5 linked regions of the Coturnix japonica genome follow. The protein of the gene in region 5 interacts with the protein of the main gene of each other region in a pairwise test. Links are inferred from orthologs where the notes say so. Each region holds a gene or a part of one and is shown on either strand. Other genes may lie near its edges. The genes, in order: WDR25, EAF1, EAF2, TNFAIP8L1 and PSME3.

What was found.
Region 1: the proteins of PSME3 (region 5) and WDR25 interact in binary tests that used the Homo sapiens proteins (3 or more experiments, as listed by UniProt). The two-hybrid records come from large-scale screens. The link is inferred for Coturnix japonica from reciprocal best matches to the Homo sapiens genes PSME3 and WDR25.
Region 2: the proteins of PSME3 (region 5) and EAF1 interact in binary tests that used the Homo sapiens proteins (3 or more experiments, as listed by UniProt). The two-hybrid records come from large-scale screens. The link is inferred for Coturnix japonica from reciprocal best matches to the Homo sapiens genes PSME3 and EAF1.
Region 3: the proteins of PSME3 (region 5) and EAF2 interact in binary tests that used the Homo sapiens proteins (3 or more experiments, as listed by UniProt). The two-hybrid records come from large-scale screens. The link is inferred for Coturnix japonica from reciprocal best matches to the Homo sapiens genes PSME3 and EAF2.
Region 4: the proteins of PSME3 (region 5) and TNFAIP8L1 interact in binary tests that used the Homo sapiens proteins (3 or more experiments, as listed by UniProt). The two-hybrid records come from large-scale screens. The link is inferred for Coturnix japonica from reciprocal best matches to the Homo sapiens genes PSME3 and TNFAIP8L1.

The regions. Positions count from the first base shown.
Region 1 is NC_029520.1:44,214,714-44,220,284, forward strand, and holds part of WDR25 (WD repeat-containing protein 25), read left to right. Parts: intron 1-4,229; coding exon 4,230-4,377; intron 4,378-5,571.
Region 2 is NC_029517.1:38,104,764-38,110,334, reverse strand, and holds the end of EAF1 (ELL-associated factor 1), read left to right. Parts: intron 1-1,452; coding exon 1,453-1,683; intron 1,684-3,343; coding exon 3,344-3,390; 3' UTR 3,391-5,055; downstream 5,056-5,571. UniProt on the Homo sapiens protein: Acts as a transcriptional transactivator of ELL and ELL2 elongation activities.
Region 3 is NC_029522.1:20,654,574-20,660,144, reverse strand, and holds part of EAF2 (ELL-associated factor 2), read left to right. Parts: intron 1-269; coding exon 270-406; intron 407-1,131; coding exon 1,132-1,274; intron 1,275-4,068; coding exon 4,069-4,335; intron 4,336-5,571. UniProt on the Homo sapiens protein: Acts as a transcriptional transactivator of TCEA1 elongation activity. Acts as a transcriptional transactivator of ELL and ELL2 elongation activities. Potent inducer of apoptosis in prostatic and non-prostatic cell lines.
Region 4 is NC_029543.1:4,002,310-4,008,634, reverse strand, and holds the start of TNFAIP8L1 (tumor necrosis factor alpha-induced protein 8-like protein 1), read left to right. Parts: upstream 1-2,312; 5' UTR 2,313-2,501; intron 2,502-6,325. UniProt on the Homo sapiens protein: Acts as a negative regulator of mTOR activity.
Region 5 is NC_029542.1:4,665,919-4,671,945, forward strand, and holds the end of PSME3 (proteasome activator complex subunit 3), read left to right. Parts: intron 1-224; coding exon 225-273; intron 274-894; coding exon 895-1,007; intron 1,008-1,189; coding exon 1,190-1,258; intron 1,259-1,707; coding exon 1,708-1,775; intron 1,776-1,919; coding exon 1,920-1,974; intron 1,975-2,237; coding exon 2,238-2,324; intron 2,325-2,831; coding exon 2,832-2,912; 3' UTR 2,913-4,587; downstream 4,588-6,027. UniProt on the Homo sapiens protein: Subunit of the 11S REG-gamma (also called PA28-gamma) proteasome regulator, a doughnut-shaped homoheptamer which associates with the proteasome. 11S REG-gamma activates the trypsin-like catalytic subunit of the proteasome but inhibits the chymotrypsin-like and postglutamyl-preferring (PGPH) subunits.

The sequences.
Region 1 (5,571 bases), on a different chromosome or scaffold from region 5:
GGCAATCATATTTTAATGTTTTAGGGATTCTTTGCTAAGGGGAAGGATGGATGGTTACCGTTTATAATGTGAAATGTTGCTTGAATGCGTGTCAGAAGGTTTTCAGAATAGTGGACTGTAATTTCTTCTCACAGAGCTAAGTTTTAATAGTCCTTATTTCTAGGGGACTCTTGTCACGTGTCTTTCATCGTGACTTGAAAAAAAAGAATGCTTGGACTGGATGATTTTTTAGGTCTTTTCCAACCTTGATAGTTCTGTGATTCTGTGAATTGTTGCTAAATCTATATATTGGCTATATTGTAACCTTTTAAATTGCCATACTCTGCACTGGTTAGATGGTATTTGTTTATTATTTACCATGGTACTTTAGAGAATGTGATTCCAGATTCAGGCATCATGTTGGGTGTTTTGCAGCTCTTTCAGACTTTCATTTTAGCCTTGTTATTCTATCCTGGCTTCAGCCAGCATATAAATAAAACAAAGATAGCAAGTCTAGAAAAACTTACACATAAATTATTCCTGAACTACTTAACTATCTTTAAGACAGTTGGAAGAAAAGCCCTAAAGTACTTTTCATCCTGGACAATCTGTTAATCTGACATTTGAGTGTTTGGCAGAGGGGAGTGATCTTGCATAGGTAAGATTCATCCCTTTGCAGCAGTCTCCCTTCTTTTTTAATGTGTGTGGCTGCCCATAGAGAATAAGCACCATCTATAGAGCTGGCAATTATCTGAAGCATTTGATGGAGTATATAGAATTCTCTTGTTAGTAAAGCCTTTTCCCATTTTTTCTTTTCTTTTGATAAAGCAGTGGAAAAACCATATGCAGAAATGAAGAACTACTTAAGAATGCAAATATGATGTCTACTTTGTGATGATCTTTTGATGGAATTTGGTAATCACGTGCAGTAGGTTCTCTATTTGTGGTCATAGCACAGTTAATGTATCTGTTGCTTCTAAGCACAGAAGAGTCTTCATCACATTGGAGACATTTATTACAGTAAAACATTCATAGTTCTTACTTTTTGGTAATTTCTTGTGTGTGTGGAATGTGCAAAGCTTGTTCTTTAATTGCCTTGTTTTCAGTACTACACACGCTTTTGTATCTTGATTTTTCAATGGCTCACCTTTATATGACATTTTGTGGGCATGACTGTGTCCCTTAAGTGATTGCTGAGGAGCTAACTGTAAATATCAAATACCACTTCTTGCAAATAGCAAGTAGAGCTTCCCTTGTCCTGGGAAAATGAACACGGAAACGTAAAAATTGAAATTACTCTCTGTGGATGCAATGGGGCATACACTAGTGTATTAAAGTTAGACTGAGGTACATTCACCAGACAAAAGATATGAAAAATTCCTTCAGGAAGGCCCCATCTGCTATTGCTAGGAATGGGGGCAGTCGCTATGTGCAGATAATGCAAGGACACACATGAGGGCAATTGGGAGGACATGTGAAAGGCAATCATAGAAACATCGTAGAACATCTTGAATTGGAAGGTATCTAAAAGCTCATCCAGCTCCAACCCACTGCCAGGGGCTGGTTGCTACCCACCAGCTCAGGCTGCCCAGGGACCCATTGGACCCATCCAACCTGAACATCTTGAATTGGAAGGTATCTAAAAGCTCATCCAGCTCCAACCCACTGCCATGGGCTGGTTGCTACCCACCAGCTCAGGCTGCCCAGGGACCCATTGGACCCATCCAACCTGGCCTTGAGTGCCTTCAGGGATGTGGCATCCACAGCTCTCTGGGCAGCAGTTTCAGGTCTTCACCATTTTCTCACTGATAAATTTCCCCCTAGATGTTTAATCTAACCCATTTCCACTTGTCTTATCACTGTCTACCCATGTAAAAAGTTGTTTTTTCTCATATTTATCAGCTCTTGTTAAATACTGAAAGACTGTGTGAATCAGTGATTAGGAGTTTGTTAGTTGATGGGTAAATGAAGTGAACATCCTCAGTCTAGTCTGCCCTGTCCATGTTGCTGTAATGCAGGAAGGATCTGAGAGAGAATATACTTGAAGGGAGAAATATGATATTGAGTGACTTTCCACTAGTATGTGGTTGGTAGTCTCATCCATGTGAGTTAATCAGTTCTCTTTCACAAAATGGGGAGAAATGTGCAGTTTTAAGGCTGTGCTTTTCTCATTTATACAGTGTTTGTTTTTTTTGTTCTTTTTTCCCAATCAGGCTAGTGCTAAGAACTTGCTTTATTCATCCTTCTTGTGAAAATTGAGTTTTCATGCTTAATCAGGGAAACCTGTCAGAAAAATATCTGAGGCATGTAACACCTGTTTTTCCTTTCATCCGGATTCATTCATTAGCTTCTTCGTATTAAAAGCCCTCCAAGATACAATTAACCCTTTTTAATGCTGTGAAGCTTGAAATGATCATTAAAACTCATTAAAGCAGAGAAACTTGCTTTCAAAAGCAGCTTAATATTACGTTTTCTTTACTTTTTTTTGGCTATGGTTATCACAGTTACAGTCTTAACTGACTATTCAAGTAATATTGCTTGATTGCTTTGTGTTGCAGAACTACAGTCTGTGCTAGAAGATCCTTTGATGAAATAATTCTGTATAATGTAACACTCCCTTCTGAGTGTAATAATGGTTTTGCCAGTCCTTTTTGTCCAGTGTAAAGTAAAAAAAGAATTCAAAATAAAAATGCATGACCAGAAGTCTTGATTTCTCCTTTCTTGCATATGTTTTCCTGTGAACTGTGTTGATGCTATTAGATAGATACCTATTTTCCCTTCATTTACTGAATTGTTATTGTTTTAACATATTTTAAAAGGCACGGGCATGTAGTCAGTTGTAATTCAGTACTAACTTCTGTAGACATATCTAAATGTAGAAATTGGTCTCATTTATTGAAAAGGTCCCCTTCTTGATATTCTTCAAATTGCCTTCTATGTTCCAAGTATTGTATAAACAATCTTAAAATTTAGCTAATTAGATTAGACAAAATTCAGAGTAACCTTCAAAGCTCATAATCAGTGTTATTTAAAATATGCTAGTTTTTGGAGGGTGGAAATGACTAACCACCAAGACAAGTATAGTGAAGTAAAATGGTGACTTCAAAGCAATAAAGTGCCTTAGGTTCTACTTTCTGACTGATACTGTAATAAACCTGTCATGAAGTGTACTACCAAAGCATTGACTTATTTGTACTACTAATATTAGAAGAAATAAAATTGAGGATTTACCAGTATGGTTGTAGCAGCTGGTATATATTTCATTAGACAGTTCAAATAACAGCTGTTATGAAATGATCGTGAGATATTTTATGACTGACCTTTTACCAAAGTGCAATATTCATCAAGATAATTGGGTATTTAGCCTTTTTCTCACAAAAGCAAGCATGCCAAATTTTTACATGGGTCATTTGTTGCTAAACGTGAAATTTTTGCTAAAAATTATGACAAAAGAATATGGCAAAAAAGATGAACTCTTGATTATTGCAAAGCACATTTAGTAATTGAAATTATAATTACATCTAGTAGCTCTGTATTCTATAATGTCTTAGTTGGAAACAATTTATGTTTAAAAATGCTTCTTAAAATATGAATTGAGCTATTTGTATTCTTCAGATGTTAGTTGTTACATAAAAATAAACAGATAACTACTAGAATTGGATTTTCAGAAGTGCTGAGCGTTGATTTAATTTGGTCCAAAATAAACTGAAAAATGAGGGCTTAGACCTATTCTTTCTTCATATCTCTAAGGTGATCTTATCTGACTCCTCAGTGAAGTTAAGGATAAATTCTACTTAAGGCAACAAACTGCAAGACTGAGAAATGATTATAGCCCATCTATAGGCAGATGTGGAAGCTGCAATCCACTAGAAATGCCTGTTAAAAGCAAAAAAAACTTCAAAGAAAGAAACGATTTAAGAAGAAACGGTACTTAGATGTATTCATGCACAGAAGAGCAGAAATACAGATGGAAAACTATAACACAAAATGCTACTGAGAGCAGTAGAGATGTTTCAAGAAATAATGTAAGTCATGAAAATGCATTACATATTCATGCCTTGTTAATAAAATGCCTTAATTCTAATCAACCGTGCAATTATTTCAAACAGATATTTACAGCTTAACCGATATGCATTTGGAATGCAAAGCTTTCTTAGTCAGAAAATGATTTGCTCTAACTAGTTATCAGCACACTGAAAACATTATTCTATTTAATGATTATAGTTGCCCCCTTTTTTTTTTTTTTTAAGGTATGGGATGCTGTAGATACAGGTGGCTGTTTGAGGACATTTTCTTGTCATTCCTGTGCTGTTCGAGCTGCCCAATGGTCATCCTGTGGAAGAAGGATCCTCAGTGGCGGCTTCGATTCCATGCTGCACCTAACAGACGTGGAGACAGGTAAAGGCCCCGTATTGGTACACTTTAGCAGTATTTGTTACCTTTGATGCAGATAAATTTTGATATTGTGTGCTTTGCTCTTTCTTTTGAAACATGCATAGAATCTATAGATCAAGGTAAGAATTCTTGAAATGTCCTTCATTAAAAAGTTTCTCACAATTAAGGGTAGTTTGAGATTCTTAAGAAGACCAGAATGTCTCTAACCTCATGAGCACATGCAATTTCTGTTGTTAGTTACTGCACTACTAGGTAGAATGATACCTGAGTATTTTTTATGCTGTCACTATCTTCCATTAAATTGTTTGCAGAACCCCTTCTATATGTGGTATAGAAACATAATTCTGATGTGGAACTTGAGACTGAAAGTGCATTGTGAATTTGATTAGGAGTTTGAACATTGTGAACTCAACAATTAATTTTCAATTAATGGTCTTTCTCCTCACATTTCCTTCACAAGCCAAATAGATTCTGTCAGCATTACTTCTCCTTTATCTATGTTACCATTACATCTCCTTTATCTATGTTATCAGCATTCATACAGTGGTGTTCTTGGGTCCATTCATAACAGGACATCTGTGTGTGTGTAATGTGGGATTAGGCATCAAATGGTTTACTGAAGAGATGCAGTTTTTTTGTTTTTCCTTCTTAATTTGTTTCTAAATATTTACCTCTGCAAACGTACAATGTTTTTTTGTGTAACACTGCAAAAGAAATCCATACAAAAATAACAAGAAACTTTTATTTAAGAGAGTTTTATCTTATACAGAATTAAGAAGAAAATTGTATGGAAGTATCCAGAGAATTGAATAAACTGGGAATACTGGGAAAGTGATTAAGGAAATTTGTGAATATTGTTCACATCAAGGCCAGGTTCTCTTTGTGCTCTAGGAATGTATTTTTTTTTCTGTACTTGTCACACAAAGAAGTATTTAAATTCAGTGATGGCTGGAAAGGACATATTGTAAAGCATGCAGCACAGTTATACAATATGTTTTTTGGTTTTTTTTTTTTTCCTCAGAATATTCATGGTTTTAGCAGTAAGAAGAATATTATACATCTGATGTAGTAGTGTTACATGAAGCACCTCTCCTATGAGGAAATGTTGAAGGAGCTGGACTTGTTTAGCTTGGAGAAGAGAAGGCTCTGGGGAGACCTCATTGTGGCCTGCCAGTAATTGAAGGGAGCATATAAACA
Region 2 (5,571 bases), on a different chromosome or scaffold from region 5:
ACAGTGACTTACCAGTGCTAATTTTTACGTGTACCAGACTCCAGCCACAAAATGGATTCTTAAAGCTGGTAAGAGTGTTGGGAAGGGCTGAGGGAGCAAGTCATTACAGTACAAAATAACAGCTTCTGTTGACCTAATGGCATATTTTTCCTCCCTCTTCCAATGGTCTCTCATGCTGTGTCTTAAAGATGAAAAGGTAAATTTTGCCTGGCATACTAATGAAGTGCAAAAACCCCAGCTGACCTAGTCAGGGATCTAGCTTCAGGAAGTAGATTTGAAGAACAACCCCATTATCACTAAATACCCGGCTGGAGTTAGTTATTCTCTTTCAGTATGCTGTCCTTGTCACTAATTCAGGATATCTATACCACTTGAAATTGAGCTCTGAACTTTGAGATTGAAAAGTAGCAGCTTCAAAACGGGCAACAGAAAAGTTAATTTCTGAAACCAGTACCTGCTGAGCTGGGGTAACTCCTGCCAGCAAATAACGTGGAGGCTGAAAACTCAGCTGTTACTCTGAAGTGTTAAGCAGCCCAAGGAAAACTGATCTTCTTTAAAAGAAAGAGTTCCAGTTGCTCAGACTTACTCCTGTGTGGGCTGAAGACGGCAAGAACTTAAACTGTGCCATTTTTACATGAAGGAGGGACTCGCTTTGTAAGCTATGGCTGTGCTGTATCAGGAGGGATGTCCCTAGTTCAGGAGCTGTGTTTTGTCTCAGTCAGAGTAACTCACAAGGCTGGTCTATGGTAAATCACTCCTAGTGTTGGTTCTCCATTTGTTGGGTAGGCTCAATTGTACTTGTGTTGTCTCTTCTTTGTCTCTTCACCCTTTGAGTTCTCCAGAGCAAGCACTGTGTTCTTACCTTGCGGGTGCACAACTGCTGGCACAACGAGAGCCTAAATTTTGATGGTTTCTTATACTTTTTACAAATTTAACAGTGTGGAATGGTTTGTGACTTACCTTAATGTCCGCTTAGTAACTGGTTGTTCAGCCAGCACCAGCTCTTGCTGATGAGGCAGTCGTGGTATTCTACTGTTACTTTACACAGGTAACCATTAATGAGGTGTGAGAGTTGAATAACTTGCCACTTTCAGAGCAGTCCATTTTCCCTGACTACTCGTTAGCTCTATAGCAGGTTAAAGTACTGTCACCACTCCCCAGCGTGTGAAGGTTCTCAGCTGTTCTTGTCTGCCCCACTGCTGAGTTTCTAAATAACAACAACAGAAATGAAGGTTTGATGACACTGAACTTCGCTCTTCTTCAACTGCAACAACTGGGTTGAAAAAATTGTCAGGACTGTTTGTTTTTTCTTTCCCGACTCTCTCTTTTCATTTGAGCTATTTTGCTGTTATAAATTCTACTTGACAAAACGATTGCATTTTCATATTCCTTTCCCAAACTCCACGAGGCTTTACTTGTGGTTCCAACCACATGAATGTCCTTTTATTCCAGAGCTTAGAGCGGAGGTTGAAATCATTGAGCAGATGAGTAGCAGCAGTGGAAGCAGCTCATCGGACTCAGAAAGCTCATCTGGAAGCGAAGATGAAAGCTCTAGCAGTGAGGGGGAAGAGCTGGCACGTGTTTCCCCTTCCCAGCCACCTCACCAGCAGTATAACAATAGGAATGCTGTTGCTAACGGCACCAGCAGGCCACAAGGAAGCAATCAGCTCATGAACACGCTCAGTAAGTAAAGGCTTCTGTCTGTCTTATTACTCTGGGAAGCTGCTTGGGATCACTTACTTTGTATGTTAAGCTTGCTCCGTGAAGTACACTTGGCCTAACAGTAATCCCAGGGAGGTGCGCTGGCTGAAGTATGTGGACAGATAGGGGGGTTTAAGAGAAGGCTGAGATGTGTCTGAAGCTGTGAAGATTGCTTCAGTCTGATCTAAAACCTTTGGGCATCAGCACGGTGACCTGTGTTGACCATGCTGAGTCTCAATTCAGGCCTCCGAGTGGAAAGAGTGGACAGCAGAGCGTTAGTTCAGGTGGATATGGTGCACCATATGATGATGAGAATTATTTTAATGTGAAAACACAGATTAGGCTTTATTCTGGGTCAGGTTCAGTGGAGTTAAAATACTGCATTTACAAGAAACTGCAACTTATTTATTGTAATTTGTTTTTAATTTCTCCTGAGGCAAGCTTGAGTACATCTCTTGGAATCCACACAGAGGGAACTGTGTAGTTCAAATGCAGATAAATGTAGAGTTTCCAGCTTCAGAAAGGGAAGTTCGGCTTTTATACAGATGATACTGAAGAGGCTTGCAGGAAAATTGGCAAAGCCAGTCAGTGTTCTTGACAGTAGTGGATGCCTGAGGTGAAACTTGGGTGAAAACCAAAGTTCAGCAAAGTCAGCAGGACTCTTTCCATGTCCCTGTTTTTGTTTGTGAGCTGCCTCTTCCCTGCTCCTTTTGGGCCAAGGCTGCAATACTGCATAGGTCACTGAATTTCTGGAAGTCTCTAACCCGTGTAGGATTTGGGAGCTGTTAAGGTAGCTCCTTTTTTTCATGCAGTGATTGCTGCTCTGATTAATATGACCTCGAGTATTCAAGTCACTGGTGACCATAACTCAAATTTCCCCAAAAGAGGAAAGCAGGTGAAGAAATCCAGGGTGTAGCTGTTGCGAGGCTGCTTTGCAGAGGACTTGTGTTTGGGACAGCGTCTTGGAAGAGTGCCCATAGGACTGGATTCAGTAACCAGAACTTGAGCATGATTATTGCACACTTTTACCCCATCCACCTCCCCAGATTACAAGTGGTCTGCAAGACAGGCTCAAAGACTGTATGTTTGATCCACTTCCAGTCAGTCCTTCCTGTGTTGGATCTCTCTTTGCGCTTTGGAGGGCTGCCCTTGGCCTTCCTTAACCTTCACGCCCTGTATCAGCTGATTTCAGCCAATAGCTTTGAGCTGCAATGGCTCTAACATTTTTTCTGGCCTGCTGACATGTGGAGGCCTTACACTGGCTACCCAAACTGCCTTAAAACAAAGAAGTCTATTTTAATAAAGTCAATTAAGCCAGGGAATTCCTCAGTGCCTGGTCCTAGAGCTGTATACAGGAGTTTGGTGGGTGGAGGCTGTGGAGTGCCTTCTGCAGCTGCTAGCAGAGGGAGTGCTGTCTTCCCTCTGGGGAGCAGACCAGGTGGTTCTGTTGGACCTGGATCAGGCTTCGTATGAGCCCTGTGCGGTTCTTAATGCTCTTGGGCATGGGGAACAAGAGATGACGTTTGCATTCAGTTCTTATGCTTATTTATATCTTCTAGTGTACACGTGGCTGTACTTTGCTTTGATTGCAATTAAATGTGCCTACACACTTCTTGTGTTCTGTTGTTTCTGTTTCCCATAGGAAATGACTTGCAGTTGAGTGAATCTGGGAGTGACAGTGATGACTAGAGGCTGAGATTTTTCCTGCTTCTCTTACATATACATGAAGAACTAATTTACCTTGAAGTGATCATATCGCTTACAAAGAGGATCTGGCACAGGAATTCTTCCATGTGTGGAATTTTAATAGAAGGAATGTGTAACTCTGTAAAATATCAGATGTTGAGGGCTGTTTTACCTTGCAAATTGAGTGTATATTTTGTGTATATTCTTATTCTTGAAAAGCTTTACATAGGTATGTACAGTGGGTAAGCCAGTATGTGCCCCTATGTTCTTATCTGTTCATTATTTGTAAGCTTAACGTGTAACTTCATCATGTCATCTGAAAATTTCTTGTTTGTAGGAGATATTCAGTCCATAGTGGAAGATATTCAGCCCATTGTGTCTCTGTTGGGGGGCTTTTGTAATATAGGGTGAGCATGAACCAACAGTGAGTATTAAAAAAAACCCAACCATGCAGAACCTACAGTGTGCACTGAAGTGGGACTGTTAAAAATTAAGCTTCAACGCTAAGTTGATTTATTTGATTTGGGACTTTTCTAATGTGTTTTTATTGCTATTTATGATTGATTTAATGGACATAACTTTTCAATAGTTGGAAAGGAGAAATTATAAAACCATGTTTGTCACAAACCTTGCTGCACCAGTGCCTTATAAGCAGGTCTTTAAATGGAGCTTCCTGCCACCTCTCATATAGGGAGCAATACTGAAACCTCTTCAGATTGCTTTTACAAAGAAGAGCTATGTTTCACATACAGGTCGGCTGTGCTCTGAGGGCAGTTAATCTAGCAAGATATAGGATATATGTCAGTCACCTGAGCACATCCGAGTCAGAACCAGATCAGCATTTTCTCATGCAACTGAAGCATCTAATTTTATTCAGATATTCAGTCCTAGAAATATATAGGAGCACAATTGCCAATGAAACTGCAGTGTCACAAATAGGAGATAATGGACTTGCTGAAATGGTCAGACCCAGGGCCTTGTTTGCAGTTTCCTAAAGGATGCAGAAAAAGGAGACGACAAAGCAACTGTGGAACAGCACAACTCTCTCTCCCACCACAGCTGTCCAGGTAGACTTTAGTCCGTACTATTTGTTGGACGGGATCTCCGTGCTTGGCAGAATTACACAGAACAAGAAATGTTTGCTTACCATGAAATTCACCCCTGTTTAAGGGGGTTTAAATGGTGCTCAGCTGGATTATCATTAACTTTTTGCTCCGATGGAAATGAGTTCCGGGGCAGCCTCTTAATCTTGAGCACAAGGCTAACTTTTTAAACCCCAAATTCAAGTGATATATGCTGAGCGACCCTGCAGTTGTGGTGTAATCCAGTTGGAACTTAGACTGGATCGGATGTCTCTCCATTCTTAAATGTCTGCTTTGCACTGCTTTTGTCTGATAGTTTGTGTTGTAACTCCTGTTTGTTTACCGAGCTCTTTCCTTTTATTTTTAAGGTATTGAAGAGCAGGGTGTCATTGGAAGGGAGATTTTATTAAATGGTTTATTTTAATTTTTTTTTGCATTCAATACGTATTTAGGCATATTTTTGCATTATTGTACATAACGTTTAAAAAAATAATTGTTTTTTTTAAAGTGTTTTATGATGTGGGTACATATTTTAACATACAATTATGAAATATACTTGATGTAAAGCAACAGCTGATGTGATTCATTTGGTGTCTTGTGGTTTTTTTCCCCCTGTTCTTCTTCTGTGAGTAAATGTGCTCTGCTCGAACAAGCTTCTGCCAGCCTGAGGTTTTACATTGGTGAGGGAGACCCGCATGCTAGTTGGCAGTGTAACCAGTACTAATTCTGCTCCTGACATCCCAGCTTGAGACTGGGATGAGGAGGGAGGCGTTTCTGTTACCATTTCCCCATTACTGGCACTTATTGCTGAGTTCCGCTGGTGTTACTGCTTGTGCTTAAATGGAAAAGCAGCAGTGCAACGTTTTCATTGCCTCATTCATTGGCTGCACGTACACTCTAAAATCCAGGACACGTCATAGGAAGTTTACTAATTATATATGAACAAAATACGTGGAACTTAAGAGGATAAGACAACAGCGGGCTACACTGATTTGAATCACCACTTTAACTGTGGTTTAAATCAGCCAGCAGGAAAGCTTCATTCACACAGTCAGTTTCTGCCTTGCTTTGTGTTTGTACTCAAGGTCATGGCTTACCTTTA
Region 3 (5,571 bases), on a different chromosome or scaffold from region 5:
TTTTGGTAAAAGGAGTCCTACAGTAAGTATGCTGTGATCTGGAAATAAGCTTGAAACTGATTAAATGCTGAAGATGAAATTTCCTTCCAGTCAGTCACCAGCTGCTTTTGGTCACGGTTGAGTCTGGTTTGAAATAACCAATAGTATTTCTCAAGGCTAGAAATGATTGCTTATAATGAATTTGTAATCTCTGTGATGGATTGTTTCCTGTTCATAAGGAGGGAAAAGTACTACTTTGTAACAATTGCTGGGCTCTTCTGATTTACCAGGGCTCCACTCCACCAGTGACAGTGTTCAAGGGCTCAAAGAAGCCTTACCTAAAGGAATGTATCTTAATTATCAATCATGACACTGGAGAATGTCGCCTAGAGAAACTTAGTAGCAACATCACTGTGAAGAAAATCAGGTGGGTAATTTACAAGGTGAACACCTGTCCTCCACTCATTAAGAGAATCTATTTGTTACTGAGTTGAAATTGAGAGATGCTTCAGCCCTTCACTATTTTTATCATAACGCTGTGTTTAGATTGTCTCTGGCTTTGTTCAATAGATTGAAAAGCCTGTGATCTCAACATGCCAACTTGGCTTTGTAGCTTTCAAGTCTTGACCAGCAGAAATCATAGAAAAGTCATTTTTCCTCTACTTTAACTAAAAAGTGGCACATTGTTAAGAGATGGTGACGATTATCTAATGATTATAGAGGGCAAATCTCTTTGGAAAGTAGTTTGCATAATGTCTTCTTCTAATGAGAAAATAGATCAAAAAAATCTCTGTTCTGGTTTCAGTAGTAGCAGTGACTTGTTTTTCCCATACCAAGTTTGTGTTCTTTTGTATTACTGAATCTCCAGAACTTTTTCAGTAGTTATTAGTGAATGGTCCTGGGCAGCCAGGTGTTATAACAAGTCAACTAACACAGAATTCAAAACTTATTGGCTCTGTATTTTAAATGTTACATCCACATCTAATTATATGCTAGTAAGATTAATTAATGTACCTGTAAGTGTAATGATGCTTTTTAGGAAGATATGGCAAGTAATTCCATAACTTGAGGTATAGCATCCCCTGTATTCCTGCTTTTTATCTCATATCCTGTCTTCTGAAGCAATGACAATTTTCTTCTCTTTTTAAACAGAGCTGAAGGAAGCAGTAAGGTCCAGTCTCGTATAGAACAGCAACAGCAGCAAATCCGAAACTCAGCTAAAAATCCAAACAATAAAAATTCCCCACCGAAAGACAAGATGTTTCCACCTTCTCCTATGGATGACATTGAACAAGGTAAACTCCGCTGCTATATGAGCTTTAGAAACTTTGCTCTTAACTAGGATTTTTTGAGAGCAGAGTGTGTTTTTAGTTTGACATTCACTCCAGGAGCTGATTGTATAAGCACTTTGCCCTCATGCTTTGGTTCAAGTGGTAGCAAAGCAGCATTTGAAACTTAACCTTAAAATCAGGTGAATCATTAGGCTTAATGCCACAAGCTATGCTGCTTTTACTCATACACACACACACACACATACACATATATATAAACATATGTTTTCTTCCTGCTGCTTCTATAATCAAGCAGAAAGTAGCCTGTATTATGGTACTGCAACCAGTGTAGTCGCTTCCCATTTTGACACAACTTCTTTTGTTTCTCTGCATTCAGCGAACGTATAGGGTGCAGTGCATTACAACTCAATTTTTGAATTCCCAGATGAGTCTTGTGGAAGATGACATTCAAGTGGGGGTGGGGGGGGAATACAGCAAGTGCCTGCACAAATCACCTCTTGAACAGTGCTACGTGCTGTGTTTGTGAGACACATATTTTGTGTAGTAGCAGGCCTTTTTACTTTTTGGAGGGCAGGGAAAATGGCAGGTGGCCATTACTTGCTACAGGAATGCTGACAGGTGACAGTTTCAATCAGTTGATGTCTATCTCGAAAGATGTTCTGAATTCCTTCAAATAGGTTTTTCAGATGTGTCGCTATAAAGATATACAGAACAGTATCAGAATAGAGCTGGGGTTGCAAAGACAAAGGAAAGCTTGAGTGCAGTGAATGAAATAATACTTTTTCTTGGTGTTCTGTTGCTTTTGGGGAGTGGGAGTGTTGAACACATTGCAAGATAACAAAGTGGCTGCCAAAATATATCAAACTCTTTTGTACTGCCAGTCCAATTTTGAGTGCTACTTAAGAAAATGCAGAATAATTAAGAAACAGGGCTGGAAGGGACCTCATAAGGTTATCTAGTCCATCTTTCTGTCCTAAAGTCAGATTTCTGATGTTTTTTTCTAACTGTGTTCTTCAAGCTTTCTGGTGATGGATTTAGAGTTTTCCCTGGCAGCTTATTCCAGGGCTTTGTTTTCCATATGGTTTATATTCATTGTGTAAGTACAGGCCAGATTACTCCACTGCGTTTAAGTAGCCCTTAATGTCTTAATATACTCAGAAATCTACTATGTCTCACCAGTTCTTTCTTCAAAATGATGCCATCTGGTAGATTCTTTTGTAGAAGTTTTCTAGATCACTAATTCATTGTCACTCTCCTCTAGCAACTTTTCTACTAGTTCAAAATTTTTCCTGCAATATGGTGCCAAAAACCAGTTTCAGCTGAGGTTTTAACCTTGCTGCTCTGAGCAAGAAGGTTGGCTTACTGGCACTGTCTTCATATATGAAGACCAGATAGCATCTTATCTCAACTCAGTGTAATGCTTGTCATTTCTGCTGCAGCATGATACAGTAGAACTGTGTTTAGTGATCCACTGTAACAGGCTCTTCCAAAGTGTTGCCTGCTGAATCATTTTTCATCCCTTGGTTGTGTAACTGACTATTCCTGTTTAAGTGCACTACTTTGAACTTGTTACTACCTTCATTTTCTGGGGCGGGAGGAAGGTCACTCTATATTTCTCCCCCAGTATACATATAGCCCTTCTTCCTCTGTCTGAAAATGCTTCTATTTTTTTAATGAAATTCAGTTGTTTCAGAATTCAGGGCAAAGTTCTCATTCATCAATTTTTGGTACTGTTAATTTTTTTTTAATCAGTAGTCACAAGTGAGAGCAGGGAGGAAGAGGCATAAGTGCACAGGACTTGAGCGCTATATCTTGATTAGCTTACAACCTCAGAAAGGTGGTAGATCAGTCCTTGGCATTTCTCTTCTAGAATGATTTTGAAATATCATCTTGATCTTTCTGCCAGCTGCTTTCTAATTTTTACCTTAGATTTTCTGGCTTATTTTTATGCTGATGTTGTGCATGCTTGCTCTTAGCTGCAGGATTCTTCCAGTTTTTAACCTCTATTTTCCCTTGTGTTTGAGTCAGATTGCAATAAAGGACCGCTTTGGTTCTTCTGTTCTTCCTTGGCATTGAGGTAGTTTGTCCTTGCAGTCATAGCCATGCTGTTTCAGGAACTGCCAGTTTTCCTGAGTGCCTTTTTTCCTTTAGACTGGCTTTTGATAAGGCTGACTGACCTGAACAACTTTTCCTTCAGGCTGACCTTTGATAATGCAGAATTGGAAGCATTCATGGAAGTTTGTGTTGAAGCTTATTCTTTTTATTTTCCTTTCTTGATTTGATTAAGCCTTGAACAATCTTACTTTTTGATCACTTTCATCTTCAGTATTTGATGATGTTGTCCATGTGCATGTTGATTGCATTGCTGAACTGCTGGAAGGTATTTTGAGTGCAGTTACTAACATTTTGTTGCTGACTTACTTCTGTGGTTGTAACTGCAACTTTTAATCAGGTAAAGACATCTTTAGGGAAAATATAAGACTAGCTTGTTACAGAAATTAAAGGCCATGCGAGATGGAATGTGCCCTGTGGAATGTGGGGTTCATGTTCAGTAACCCTTGTTCTAATGCTTGACTTGAAAGGGGAAAAACTGTCCAAGCTCAGGGAGAGGAAAACCACATGACAAACTAGATGTTTGCTTATACCCTTTTCTTTGTTCTGAGGTTTTCTGATTTTTTTTTTTTCCTCTCAGTAATGTGTTGATTTGTGTAACTGATTTTCTTTTTTAAATGACAGTTTTCTTTGTCCCTCTTATACCTCAACCATGATAATGCTAACTGAGAAACATTGTTTGCAGAACTAAAAGCAGAAGCCAGCATGATGGATCAGCTGAGTAGTTCTGATAGTTCATCTGACTCCAAAAGTTCTTCATCCTCTTCATCAAGTAGTGAAAATAGTTCCAGTGATTCTGAAGATGAGGAAGCAAGGCCCACTCTTCCCTTGTCAATGCCATATCTGCAGCCACAGCCTACTGTGTCTGCAGTACCACATCAGGCTGTCCCTGATGAAGATGCCAGTCATAACAGATCCCAGGAGAACAGTGGTCATATGATGAATACACTACGTAAGTACAAAGATGGTTCTTTTCTTAGTATGCAATTCCAGACATCAAGATTCTGAACGGAAACCATATTGTTTTTAAGTATGTCTGTTTTAATTTAAACTGTGGGAGGCAATGCTAAGGTTTGGTTGTTCAGCCAAAGTCTGAATTAGATGGTAGGCTGGAAGGCTTTTGGTCCCAAGAGATACTAAATTAAAGCTGTTGCAGTTCTGAGTTGTTCTGGCTTCCTCCCAGTTATATACATTGAGACTGCAGAACAGTGATTTTGTAATGAAAGTACTTGAACTTACAGGGTACTCTCAAAACATGTAATTTTTTGGTTAGAACTATGGGAAAGATACCACACTGACAATACTTTAAATTACAGAAGGGATGGCATATTCTTAGCTACTTCAATTACTATTATTCATGGCACTGTCCCAACTGGACAGCATGGCAAAACTCTCTTTTGCGTGTAAGGAAGGCAGTTGTTTATTTTCAGGTGATACTATCTTATTCCACCAATTCACACAACTAAAAATATCATTTGAAGAGTAGCTGCTGCTGTTCTTCAAGATGTGATTTCCACACAGCTTGGAATATGTTGCGAGTATTGTCCATAAAGGAGAGCTTGGACAGTGGAGGGGGAGAAAATCAGTAGGTAGAGTCTCAAGTTTGCTACTTAAGTAAGAGGGAGTATTCAGATGTAGAAGTTGTTAGCGTTCAGCTGTTTGAAAACAAGTATGCTTTTAAGTAGGCATTTAACTGCAGGCTCACATTATGAAGAGATTTCTATAAAACCCTACTGTACTGCCCAAGATCTTTAAGGCCTATCATCTATATGTAAACTGGTTATATTGAAGTTTCAGACTCTGGCGGGCCTACTTCTATTTCAGCACCTAATAGGTAATGCAAACAGGTTTGGTGGTGGCTTTTTTTTTTTTCCAGTGTTGTTTTTTCTTTTGTAGCAAGTATTGAAATACTTAAATATCTGTGGTTACTTACATACTGTCTGATCAGAGATAAGATCAGATGGAAAAGTCTTGTGACTTCATGTGCCAATAACTAAATGCTATCTTCATTTTACTGTCAGTGTTGAAAACAATGTCTTCATTTGTAATTTGTGTGACTTCAAAATATGCCATTTATTTCAACCCTCGTTCACAAATGAGATTCACCATTCTTCATGCGTTATTTAAAGCTGCTATGAAAATGAAATGAAGCTCTTCCTCCTGTGACAGAATCTCAGCTGTCAAAGCT
Region 4 (6,325 bases), on a different chromosome or scaffold from region 5:
TGCAACAGGCAGGCATCAAGATGCACCCCTGTCATCCTTCTGAGGTTATCCCTATGCAAGGACAAGCAGGAGTCCAGAAACAATGACCAAATGTTGAGTGAACAAGTGTTAGAATAACTTATCAGCTAGCAAAAATGTATGCTTACCCAGTATCCCTATGTGTAGCTGAGCCTCAGGGAGATTGTGAACCTAAAGTAGTCAGCCAGTGAGAAACCAGGGGAGAAAGAGATCAGCGTTGGGTAACAGGGCCTAAAAGATGCAACGCTGCTTTCTGCATGCTCTCCTGCTTGCAGGGGACCTGCCATTGCAATTGCCAATCAAAGCTGCTTGATCACAGATAGCATCCTGGTCAGTGATCTGGGTGTTTCCAACAATCAGAAGTACAGCGGCAACAAGAAGAGCAGCCCTGCAGTTTGTCCTTTCCTGGACATGAATAACTCCCAGCAAAGTGTAAAGAAAAAACATTGCTCTAAGCAGTGTTCTCAGTATGAAGAACCACCATGCAACTGAATGCAGCATCGCACATGGCTGTCAGTATAGAAATCACTGTGTTTGCCATTATCCCTTATGGCTGAGGGAACACAAAGTAGTCTTTGGAGTCTGTGTAGTTTTTTTGTCAGTGTATTGTATAAAATGAATACAAGTTAGAGAAACAGGAAGAGGTCGAAAGTGATGTCCCAGAATATCCAGCATGCCACAGATACATGCAGCAAAGGCTTTTCAGTTTTAGGTGTCCAGGAGCATAACCTTGGAAGACTGGCTGTGCAGGCCTGGACACAGGGAAGCCTCTCAGGTGGCTTGGGGCAAACAGGCAATCCTGGAACACAGGCTTAGGTGCAAGGCACTAGGGCCTGGGCTGGCACACCAAGCACCCAGGGAAGCCTCTTAAGTGCCCTGTGCCACTGGGAATGGCTCAGCACACTGCCATACTGTGAGCATGTCAGCATGGGGTGAGCCAACACTGGGGATCCAGTATGGGGCAGCAATGGGGACAAAAGAGCTGTCCCTGCACCCTTATCTTTCATGTGCTGCTCCCAGTGAACAGTTTGTGCCTGCTCCCTGTGAGTGGACAAGAGGATCAGATGAGCTCAGGAGAGGGGTTGACGCCAGGCAGCTTGGGGCTGCAACTGCTCAGGAGAGCAGCAACAGATGGTGGGGCTGAGAGCAGCTCCTGGGGTGCATGGGCAGAGGGAGGGCATCATGGGGTGGGGTGCGCTGTACCCTTGGCTCGGTTTGTTCAGCTCCAGCCTGGGTTGGAGGGTGGAGGAGTTCCACAGTCATGGGCAGTGGGTGAAGGAGGGGATGTTCCCCTTCTGCACTGCGAAACCTTATCTGGAGCACTGCCTCCTGATGTGGAGTCCTCAGCTCAGGAGGGACTCAGACTTGTTGGAGTATTACCAGAGGAGGGTCACGAAAAGGTTCCCAAGGGAACACCTCCTTATGAGGACAGGCTGAGAGCTGGGGCTGTGCAGCATGGAGAAGAGAAAGCTCTGGGAATGAGCAGATTATCAGGACCTGAAGGAGCTGTAAGAGAGGAGACAGACTCTAGCAGAGGACAAGGGGAAATGGTTTCAGACTAAATGAGGGGAGATTTAGAGTGGATATAACTTCCCTGGAGGGCCCCCCGTAGAAGACAAAGTCTGTTGGAGCACTCCCATGGAGCAGGAGCTGCAGAGGAAGGAAGGAACTGTTTAACTTCCCAGCTGCTGCATGAAACTATCGGCAAATTCAAGTCTGTTTAATCCAGACTTTAATTTGCTCTAAATCCTGCCTTTAGTGCTTTTAATGCCACCTTTCAGAATTAGGATCCTGCGCAGCGGCTGCTTCGAGGGGTCGGAAGGGATGAAGGGGCCGGGATGGGATAGAAGGCAGCGGTGGAATGATGGGGGGCAGGATGGAGGGGAACAGCGGGATGGAGGAGAGGGGACGGGACGGGAGCGGAGCGCAGACTGACCCCTTCTGGCGGGCGGCACCACCGAGCGGCGGCAGAGGCACTCCACCCCCAAACCCGCTGAGTCGGAGCGCGGCCACAGAGTGCGGGATTTCCCGGGGGCGGTTTCGCTCGGCGCTATCGGGCGGGAGCTCAGCGGCACCGGAACGACAGCAGCGGACGGAGCCGCCCTCGGGTACCCGCCTGCCGGGCTCCAGCCGGGGCGGGGCAGCCCCGCAGCGCACCGGGGAGGGGTCGCCCGTCCCGTGCTCGGCGCCGGTGACCCCGGGGCGAGAGGAAAGCGCCCGGCGCCCGCCCCCTCGGTACTCCCCCGCCCCTCTCCTATTGGCAGCTTCGTAGCAAGCCCCGCATCACCATTGGCCAGCACCGCCGGTGGGCACCGCCTCCACCGCAGCCGCGCTCGGCCCCGCTCGGTCCGGAGCAGCCCGGAGCACCGGGCACGGCGGCTTTACCGAGCACCGGTACAGCGCCGCTGTGTCCGGGCACGAAGAAGCCCCGGGGAAAATCAACACCCCGTCCCACCGGAGGAGCCCTTGTGGCCCCGGTGCAGGTAAGGGCTGCAGGCGCGGGGCTCGCTGTCCCTGTTTTCGGCCCCGCGGGAGAGGTTCTACCCTGACCGCGGCTCTGTGCTCTCCGGCCGGGAGCGGCGGGACCGGCAGCAGCTCCAGCAGCTCCCCCTGCGCCTCTGAGCGCGGTGGGGGTGGAAGGAGGATGGAGCTCTGCGCCTGAGAGCGGAACGGCTCCGAGCTGCCCCGGAGCTGCGTGCTGGCAAAGTGCGGGAAGCGGGAGGTCCGGGAGGGGTCCCGGGGAACGAGTGTGGGTCTGGGGGCCGCGGTTTGGTGGGACGTGTTGATGGGGCGGCTGGGTCTTGTGTGGGGCTGTGCCTCAGCTTCCCCTCTGGGTAAAATGTGGGAGAACGGCAATGGAGAGGGCTTCACTGTCGCTGCTGAAGGAGTGTGCTTTGGAGCCCATCCTCCTGCAGGGCGTTAGGGTTTGTGAACCAGGGGCTGCAAAGGGGAGAAGCGGCTCCAGGAAGGATGTGATATGCTGTTCTGTGCTGCGCAAGTGGGGCCGTGCTGCCCTATATGGCATCCACTCTGCAGCAGCCCCAATCTGCACGTGTGGGGTGCCTGTGGGGCACCACAGCTCCCAGGGGCTTAGAGCCCCCACAGCACCATAGGTGGATCTCTGAGGCTGGGAGGATCCCACCCTAGTGTGAGGTGCAATCTCCCTGACTGCTGCAGAACACACCAAGAGGTTTTTAGGGTTCTGCAAACATTGTGTTGTGACCCGAAGCACAGTGTCGCTAGAGGAAGGCTGCAGCAATGGCCCCGTTACAGGACTGCCTCCATCAGGATAAAGTCTATCTGCAAAACTTTACTTCGCTTTGCCCCTGCTGCAGCCTCCCAAGGGCAGGAAGTGTGTGCTGTGCTGTGCAGCCTCGGCACTGCTGCTTCCCCCTCTGCTTTGCACTTCCCCATCTCTCTCCTGAGCCTCTGTCTGCTACGGGTGAGGAAGAAAGGAAGTTGCCACAGGAGAGAGCAATCGTTGGCTGCCTGATAAGGGAAGGAGGAAATAGAAGGTGAGATGGATGAACCAAAATAACCCCTTCCTCCTCCTCCTGCTGCTGCAGCTGCTAGGCCCCTGGGCGTGATGGCACCACTCAGTCCCCAAGCATGGCATAGGGGTGCTTTCCCCAAGGGCCCCTTCCAGGTGCCAGCAGCTGTTCCCATGCAGCACCTGTGGCCATGTCCCCAGGGAAGGGAGCACTATGGGAGCCCTTTCCCCACCTATGTGTGAGGCTGGGGCTGGTAGTGGGAGTCCTTCACCCAGTTCCGTGCATGGGCACATTTGGGCTGCTGGACACACGAGGGTTCCCAGGTGCCCATTCATATTTGGGACCAAGTCAGGTGTTTCCCAGCCCTGCAGGCTGCTTGGGGATGCTGGGCTTGTTGCAGAGGAGCCAACTCCTCCAGGTAGTTCCTGGCTTCTATCCTATTGGGTGTCAGGGGGCACCAGGATGAGCAGTGCTGGGTGCAGGCAGGGTGCTGCAATGACTCTGTCTGCAGTCTAGCTCGCTCCATCCCTCAGGCCTTCTGTGCTGCCTTTGGCCCCTTGGTACCAAGGTGACTGCGTCCTGTGTGTACCACTATGCTGTGCTGCAGGGATGGACAAGACACTTTCTCCTGGGCAGACTTCAGGTTATAAAAGTTTGAAAACCCCCAAAGGCATTTTGTCATCTTGGGTCGTCTCTTCCCTTTTTTTTTTTTTTTTTTTTTTTTTTGCTGCTGAGGAACTGGGCTTGTGCTCCTGACCCCAGCACAGCCACCAGCAGGATGGCATGGGGCCGTGAGCAGTGCTGGAGCAGCCCTGTGCACTGCTGTGTTGCTGCTGCATTGCTCAGGGAAAGGGGGTCATGGCCCAGAACTCAACAGTGGGTCCCAAAACAGCAGAGCAGGGCCATGCAGCAACCAAGTGAGGCACTGCATAAGGCTCAGGGTTTACCCCCACAGTGTTCTTTGTTCCCTGCCCTCACAGTGCTCCTGCTCACCCTGTTGGGTCATAAGGTTTTCCCCGTGCTGTGAGGTAATTCCCCTCTGGCCTCACCCTGCACTGCACCTGCAGGGCTACATGCTCCTATGGCAACACACATACACACACCAGTGACAACCAAAGGTGCCAGCTCCCTTCTGTGCCACCCAGCATGTGGCTGGGGGGGCTGAGCACTGTGGGGTCAGGCTCCAGTTACACCCCAGTGGCTCTGGCCCTTCTCCCGCGATCTGGTGCAGCAGCGAAGTTTAATTAATTAATGTTGGTTGGGCACTTGATGGTTGGCAAGGGAAAGTGATAGGGCAGAGCAGAGCAGCAGTGCGGCGCAGTGTGTGCATCTCCCTGAGTGGCAGTGGGAGAGTATGGGACACACAATGCGGGGACCAGGGAGATGGTGACCCTGAAACATTGACTTTTAGCATTGGCCCTAATAGGAGATGGTGGTGCTGCCCTTAGGACAGTGTTGGAGGGAATGGAAGTTGGCTGTGAGGTGGAGGAGCTCTTAGCTCAAGCCCTCCTTTCTGCATGCTTGCTCCACACTGCCTCATGCATTATTGAAGTGTGTTTTGCATTCCCGCATCAAATATTCATCCTGCTGCCATGGGAGCTGCTGTGGGGCTGCCAGGAGTGCAGCAGGGCCACGTTGTGAAGTGCTGTAGACACCTGGTGATTGGCACCCAGATGGACACCAGCATAGGGTGGTGAGTGTCAGGTGTGAGACTGGGACCCCCCTGGCCCCCTTAAAGGGGTTTTTATTCCCTCTATGGATGAGATTTTCATCCCTACTCACAGACAGTTTTCTCCTTCCTCCACCCCATTCCTGTACCTCCTGCTCCTGTATCTCCAGGTCTTTTTCTGCTACTGCAGTTGAGCAGTTTTCAGTGCTCAGCTGAAGCCCTGAGATGAAACAGGAACCTGCCCAGCCTTGCAGTGCTTTGGGGATCATTGGAGAATCACGTTGGCAGCTCCCACAGGATGTCCAGGCATAGAACACTGTGTAGATGTTGCAGCCTTCAGCTGAGCCCCATGGTGTGGCCATGCCTTCAAGTCCCACTGGGATCTGCAGAGCTCCCAGGGAGCTCTGCTTTTCTCAGTTGGGTTCAGATTCCTGCAAAATGGGTGGAAAAAAGCCCAAAGAAATTACAGTGTCTGTGTGCAAAGTCATCATTCATTGCCAGGGCCACACTGCACCATGCCCTTACAGAGCAAGGCTCAGTATGCAGCAGTGCTGCTCTTTCAGTGGAAGACCCTGTTTCAAGGGCGTTTTCACTAAAAAGTAGAAGGAAAAAAACAAGCCCAGCGTAGGGCTGCAGACTTGAGCGACAGGAAGGAAATCTGGTGGTTTATTTCAGTCTGCAGACTGCTCCGTGGGGCAAAGCAGACTCTTCCGTGCACTGATAGTGGCAACAGCCCCTCTGCCAACAATGGAACCAGAGGTCAGCAGGACCCTTCCAGCAGGAAAAAGCCCCATTCCATAACATCTCCCACTGGGAGCTGATTGCATCCTTATTTCCCCCCAAGACCAATGCTGAAGCAAAGCCTGTGACTGTAGTTGAGTATTTTGGAGGAGTGTGCGCTTCCTCTTTTTTTTTTTTTTCATGGCTCTATAGGTGGAGTTTGCTTTTGCTCATTGCCTGTGGCTGCCCAACAAAGAGCTCAGGCGTGGGAATTTCTATTTATACAGGCAGTGCTCCTGCTCCGCATACATCAGCACTGGGTGCATTCAGGGCACAAAGCCCAGTGCCAGCAGAGGGGCTCACGGCCTGGGACAGTGGCTGGGGCTGTGTGTTGAGCCCAGGACATGGGCTCAGCTCTGGCAGTACT
Region 5 (6,027 bases):
ATTCTTAGTTAACAACAGCCTCCCAAAGGCTTTCAGGAATTGGTCTCCCGATCTTGGGAAGTCTGCTGGAGGGTAATGCTGTCCTTCACAGTGGTCCTTTGTTTTTAAAGACGGATGGTTAGAAACCAGGAGAGTAGCAGAGGCTCTGATGTTATCCTTACTTCCTCTGCAACAGTTTTATAGCTTGCGACTAGTTTGTGAGTAAAACATTTTGTATATTTTAGCCAAATATGAAAAAGAGGAAGCTGGAAGACCGTGAAGAGACCTTTCAGGGTAAGAGTCCCCGAGTCTCTTTGTTGCTGCCTGCCCCTTGAACCGTGCCTTAAGAGAATGAGTTGACTTCAGTCCCGCTTGCCCTGTCCTGACAGCATCTGCTGCTTACGCAGACCTGTCCCTGCAGCCTCAGAGCCTGACCTACAGATATTCTCTTGTGGAGGAGTCAGGTTCCAGCTCTTGGAAGTAGCAGGATTTGGATTTCTCTGATCGACATAAGTAGTAGTTGCTTAGGCTTAGCCTGCTGACAGGAGCAGCTGGCCTCCCTGTGGATCAGTTCTAAAAGCTTTTTACATCTGGAGGAAGACCTCAAGCTTTGGATTAAGCTGAGGCAGAATCATTTCTTACACGTGTGTCAGGAAAATCCTTGTACCTAGGCTCAGCAGGCTGGAGCTCTCCAGTTCTCATCTAAGCTCTGTATTTTCTGTCTTCTTTCCTCTGTGGCAATCATGGCTATCCCATGCCCAATTTCCCCCTTCCTCACAGGTTAGCTGTATCCTGGCTCAGTGTCCACTGCTAGCCTTTGTAGGAGACATAATGCTCAGGTGGACATTTGGTCTGATCTTCTGGTGTACCTGTTCCCACGTGGGGCTGATGTATTTGTCTTCTTTGCCACTGTAGGTACCAAAGTATTTGTGATGCCCAATGGGATGCTGAAGAGCAACCAGCAGCTGGTGGACATCATTGAGAAAGTGAAACCAGAGATCAGGCTGCTTATCGAGAAGTGTAATACGGTGGGTGTGGGCCACAGCCCTGAGTTCTGGAGCAGATGGGGGCACTAGAATACTTTTGCTCCTTTGCTTGTGTGAAGGTTCTCTGAGAAAAGGAGCAGGTTCCTCTGTATTTTATAAATGACAGTGGTATGAATCCTGTAAAAATCTTGACAGTGATCTATATAGTGATCTTTCTATTGCAGGTCAAAATGTGGGTGCAACTTCTAATTCCCAGGATAGAAGATGGAAACAACTTTGGTGTTTCTATTCAGGTAAGATATTGTTGGCTATGTTGTGGTCTTGTATTATAGTGTGTTATCTTGCATTTTGATATCTGATGTAGTAAATTAGTTTGTTTCTCATCAGACTGTTGCTGTTTTCTTTTAAGGCCCATCTCTCTACCCTTCTCCCCTTTTTTCCCTTTTCCCTTTCCCAGGGTGTGGGTCTGTGTGTACTGCTGCCCTGCTAGTTACGGAACCGGGCTGAACCAGCCTGTAAACCACTGACAGGCTGTATGCCCTACTGTGGCAGGGAACTATGCCCCCAAGAGCATGTACCTTTAGGTTTCTTCCAAATCATTTGATGGTATCCAATGTCTGCAGTGGTGGAGTTGGTTTAGGTTTTAAGATCCAAATCTAAGCTTGACATGGAACTGCTACGACCTGGTACTTCTAGAGCGGCGATGGGCAGTTTCAGTATCATGAAAAGGCTTCCTTTGCAGGAGGAAACAGTTGCTGAACTTCGAACTGTGGAGAGTGAGGCAGCATCCTATCTGGACCAGATTTCTAGGTATGAAGGAACAGAGCCCTTTCTGGGAGTGCTGCTGGGAAAAGGAACCTTTTGGGGAAGGTCCTCCAGCTTTGCTGGGGCAGATTGTGCCTGGAAGAATCTTGGTACTGTTTGTCTGATTTGTAGTCTCCATTTTCCTAACAGATATTATATCACAAGAGCCAAGTTGGTTTCCAAAATAGCTAAATACCCTCATGTGGTAAGTAAATGGGGAAGTGGTGCTTTACAGTTTACATGCTGTTGCTTTCTGGGACTCTTCAGGCTACTTCATCACTGTCTTAATTTTGAGCTAGGGGCCCTGTGGGAAAAGGGGGGGCTATATAAGAATATGCAGAATATCTTCATTAGAGAAGAGGAAACTGAAAGGGGGGATTCCTTTGTAAAAGGTAGGACCTTCAGTTGATACCATGTATCAAGCACACCTGAGCTCAGGCCTCTTAGCCATGCATCTGTTTTCTGCAGGAGGACTACCGGCGCACAGTGACAGAGATTGATGAGAAGGAGTATATTAGTCTGCGCCTGATCATTTCAGAGCTGAGGAATCAATATGTAAGTGAAAAAACAGAGCTCTCACTGGCTCCCCACATAATAGAAAGAGTCCTTTTGATCCTTCTACTGCTCTCCTCTTTCCCTATGATTACAGCTAGTCCTGGAGAGAAGCCTATCTTTTCCCCAGTCTGCTTTGGCTCTAACAAGAGCTAAGTGTTTATTGGCTCCCCACCATCTCCCAGAGATGTGGATGTTTCCAACTTGAGTATTCATGGGAGCTGAGTGCAAAATATTCAGTACACTGCTCTAGGAGCGCTGCTGCAATCCTAAATTCTTCAGGCAGTACAGACCATTCTTTTGATGTCTTCTCTTTTTTGTATTGCACACATTAGCTTCTCTAAAGTGTTGCGGAAGAAAGCACTTATTTTAAGCAGAAATGTGATTGCAGGCAGGGGTTGAAAGTAGTACCAGGATGAGCTGTGAAACTGTTCAAGTCAGTGGTTGTGAAACCTGAATGCTAAGTGACATCCCCCCTTCATTTCTGAGTTGTGTTCTCCCTTTTTGCAGGTCACTTTGCATGACATGATCCTTAAAAACATTGAGAAGATCAAGAGGCCTCGGAGCAGCAATGCTGAGACCCTTTATTAAGTGTCAACGTTTGAACTTGAGAACTGTTCAGTCAACTAAAGACCGTCATTGCCTTGGTTTGTTACATGACTATCGAGATGGGAAACTGGCTGGAAATAGTTTTGCATTCTTAGTTAAAATCTAAAGAAATTATCACCTAGTTTTGTGATTGGTTTTATTCAGGTCTCAGGAGCTCTCCCTCCCTCTAGTATATCTGGTAAAGAAAAAGGCCTTGCTGCTTTGGGATGCCCTAGAGGCTACTGCAGAGTGAGAGCAGAGCGCCAGCCAGGCAGGAACATTCCTTCATGCCTTTCTTCCTACCTGAGTAGGAGCTACAGTAGAGATCAGGCCCTTGTCTTGTCCCATCTCTTGGCTGGAGACTTCTCTGTGGTCTCTGTGAATGGGGCAGACCATCTTCAGCTCAAGACTAAGCCTGGATGGTGGTGCAGTGGCTGAAAGCCAGCTCTCTTCACTGCTGGCTGCAGCTGAGCCCCTCTGCCTATGCTCTGCACTGACTTATTTGCAAAGACAGAGGATCCTGCCCCTTCTGGGTTGGTGGCCACAGCCACGTTGCAGTGCCACTGAGAGGCCTGTAATCGTTTTGTGGCTTTTTTGACTCAGTAGAGCGTGGCCCATCTGTCTCTGCCTTGGTTCTGAGCGGGTCAATGCAGAGCTGAAGGTTGTGCTTGTCACTAGGGCTGATTGCTGTACTGGCTGGTTGTGAGCGCATATGGCTTCTGCTCCAGTCTGCAAATTGACTAGAGCCACTTTCTTGGTTAAAACCAACTTCATGGGAGTCTTCATGCCTCCTTGGTATGAGCTGCTTTTGCCCAGGCTGAGAAAGGAGGAGCCAGAGGTGTGATGCTAAACTCCTGATAGCTTCCATGTGTGGTCAGACTGCAACCTGCTTTCTCCTGGCAGTGCTTCCTGCTGTCCAGGCGCAGCAGGCCAGCTGTGACAATAGTGCTTGGGGTGAGGATGGCCAATTCCTACCTGGTACCGTTGCAAACCTTGTATTCTTTCCCCTGCAAAAGAGCACCCTTGTGTGCCTATTGACTCCTCTAAGCTGCTGGAACATTTCATGGTCCATTACAAACCCCTTTGGAAATGATTGGTTGTGTTGCGTCAGTTTTTGTGTGTGGGAAGTGATCCCATAATGCTGCAGGCTCCAAATTTTTTATTTATAATATTTCTACTTAAGTCCCATATTCAGGGAATGTTAAATCATTTATTTCTGGAACCTCACTGTTTCCCAGGTCTTGTTGTTACACCCATATATTCTTATTGTGCAGTAGCCTTAATAGTTGTGTTAACTTCATTGTAACAACAGTGACAAATGGAATGAAATTTCTCTCCTTTTTTTTTTTTTTTAAAACTATTTTTTTTCTGCTTCCACCTCTAAGAGCCATGTTGTCTCTTGCTGGTTTCCTAGGGATTTCCCCAGAGTGTGGAGGGCCACCAGCCCTTGCTGTAGACTCTTCTGTTGTTGTTTGTAGTAAGTCAACTCTTAGTCTTCCCGCTAATAAATATTCTGTAACAAACCAACTGCGTTGTAGCTGCTGTCCTGGAGCAGCACTCCCCCTTGTGTTTCTTTGTATTGATTTATTTTAATTTGTTGAGCTCTCCTTGCCAGATGAAAGTATGTAAACTTTTACCATGTCAAGAAATTAAAATAAGGTACTTTGAATTCTTTTAAGACAGCCCCTTGTCTGTGATACTGAGCTCTGCAGTGTTGGTGTCTGTTCTCGGTCGTGCATTTCACACATCCAGTGGTTCCTTCCATTCGTTCTCCTCATTCTTTTTGACTTGATACTGCTATGTGTGTGCTGCTTTGTAGATTGTTTCTGTTCCTTCAGCATACTTTATATTAAGCACAAGGGCTTGAATTTGATGAGATCTGCCCTGTTCTTGCCTTTTGTGTTGTACTCAGGCCATCTTGGCTCACTCAGGTACAACTGATTTGCATGATGGTGTTCTAAGAGCTGCAACCCACTCCACGGCTGCTCTTGCATCTGTGCAGAGCAGATGTGTGCAGTGTCATAGGACATGCATCTGAATGTTGTACCTGACACGTGTATTCAGTGCATGGTCCATTACTCTCTTGATGTTACTGTGCATGCAGTACAAAGGGGACATGGGCTAAAGCATCCTCAGCGTTACCCAGAGGCGTGCTTTTGTTCTCATTCCTGTTCCTCAGCACATGTGGCATGCAGCCTGGGCTGCAGGGACCTGCTCAGCGGTGTTCAGCCAAGTGCCATTCATTCCCCAGCACCCTGTCTGGGAGCTGCTGGTGTCCAGCCTGTTCTGCTCTGTGACAGGGAGGCTGTGTCTCTTACAGCTTGGTTGCCACTAGGTGGGGGCTGTGATCCAGCCTGAGAAGTGCTGGGAGGCCGGGTGAGACCTGGCCAACCTGTCCTCAAAAGTCTTCAGCCACCAAGAAGAAGCACAAGCGGCAGCTGCTGCTCAGCTGCATTCTGCCTCCTGCTGGGCCATTGGCTGCGAGGTGCTTCCTGTGGAGTGGGAAAATACTGATGGTGCCCACACCTCTTGGTGAAGATGGGTAAGGAAATGACAGCACAGGTCCCTGGGGCTGAGGAGGCTGGAGCTATTGCTGGAAAGTCTGCTGTTGGCACTGCTCAGTGCTGTATGGCAGAAGGGGTCTACCTTGATATGGCCAGGAGAAAGGGAGCCCCCAGCAGCCCTACACAACAGTCCTGTGGAAGGATGGAGCGTCCAGGACTGCTGTGCTGACAGGTGTTGGTGAGGAGCATGTTTCATGCACAGGAGCAGGGGAGGGTTTATTGTCTGTGATCCTCACCCTTTGGCATGGTGGTTTCTGCTCTGCTTTCCCAGAGAAGTGTCAGCTATCAGGGCTCTAATTCACAGCTTCTTGGGACACCCCTGCTTGTGTTTGCAGAGGAGGTTAGAACTTTGGAAGAAGAAGAGCACAGCAGTTGTGTTCAGACAAAAACACTTGCCAGAAACGCAGCCAGCATGAGTAAGTGTCAAGCAATTTCCAGCAGTCTGTTTTACACAAGCTGAATGTGCACGTTGGGAGAGTGGGAGTTTTCTAGAGTTTGAAGTTCAGGTTGGGGTCTGCTTGAGGTGTACCCATGTCAGAAAGGCTGGCAAGAAT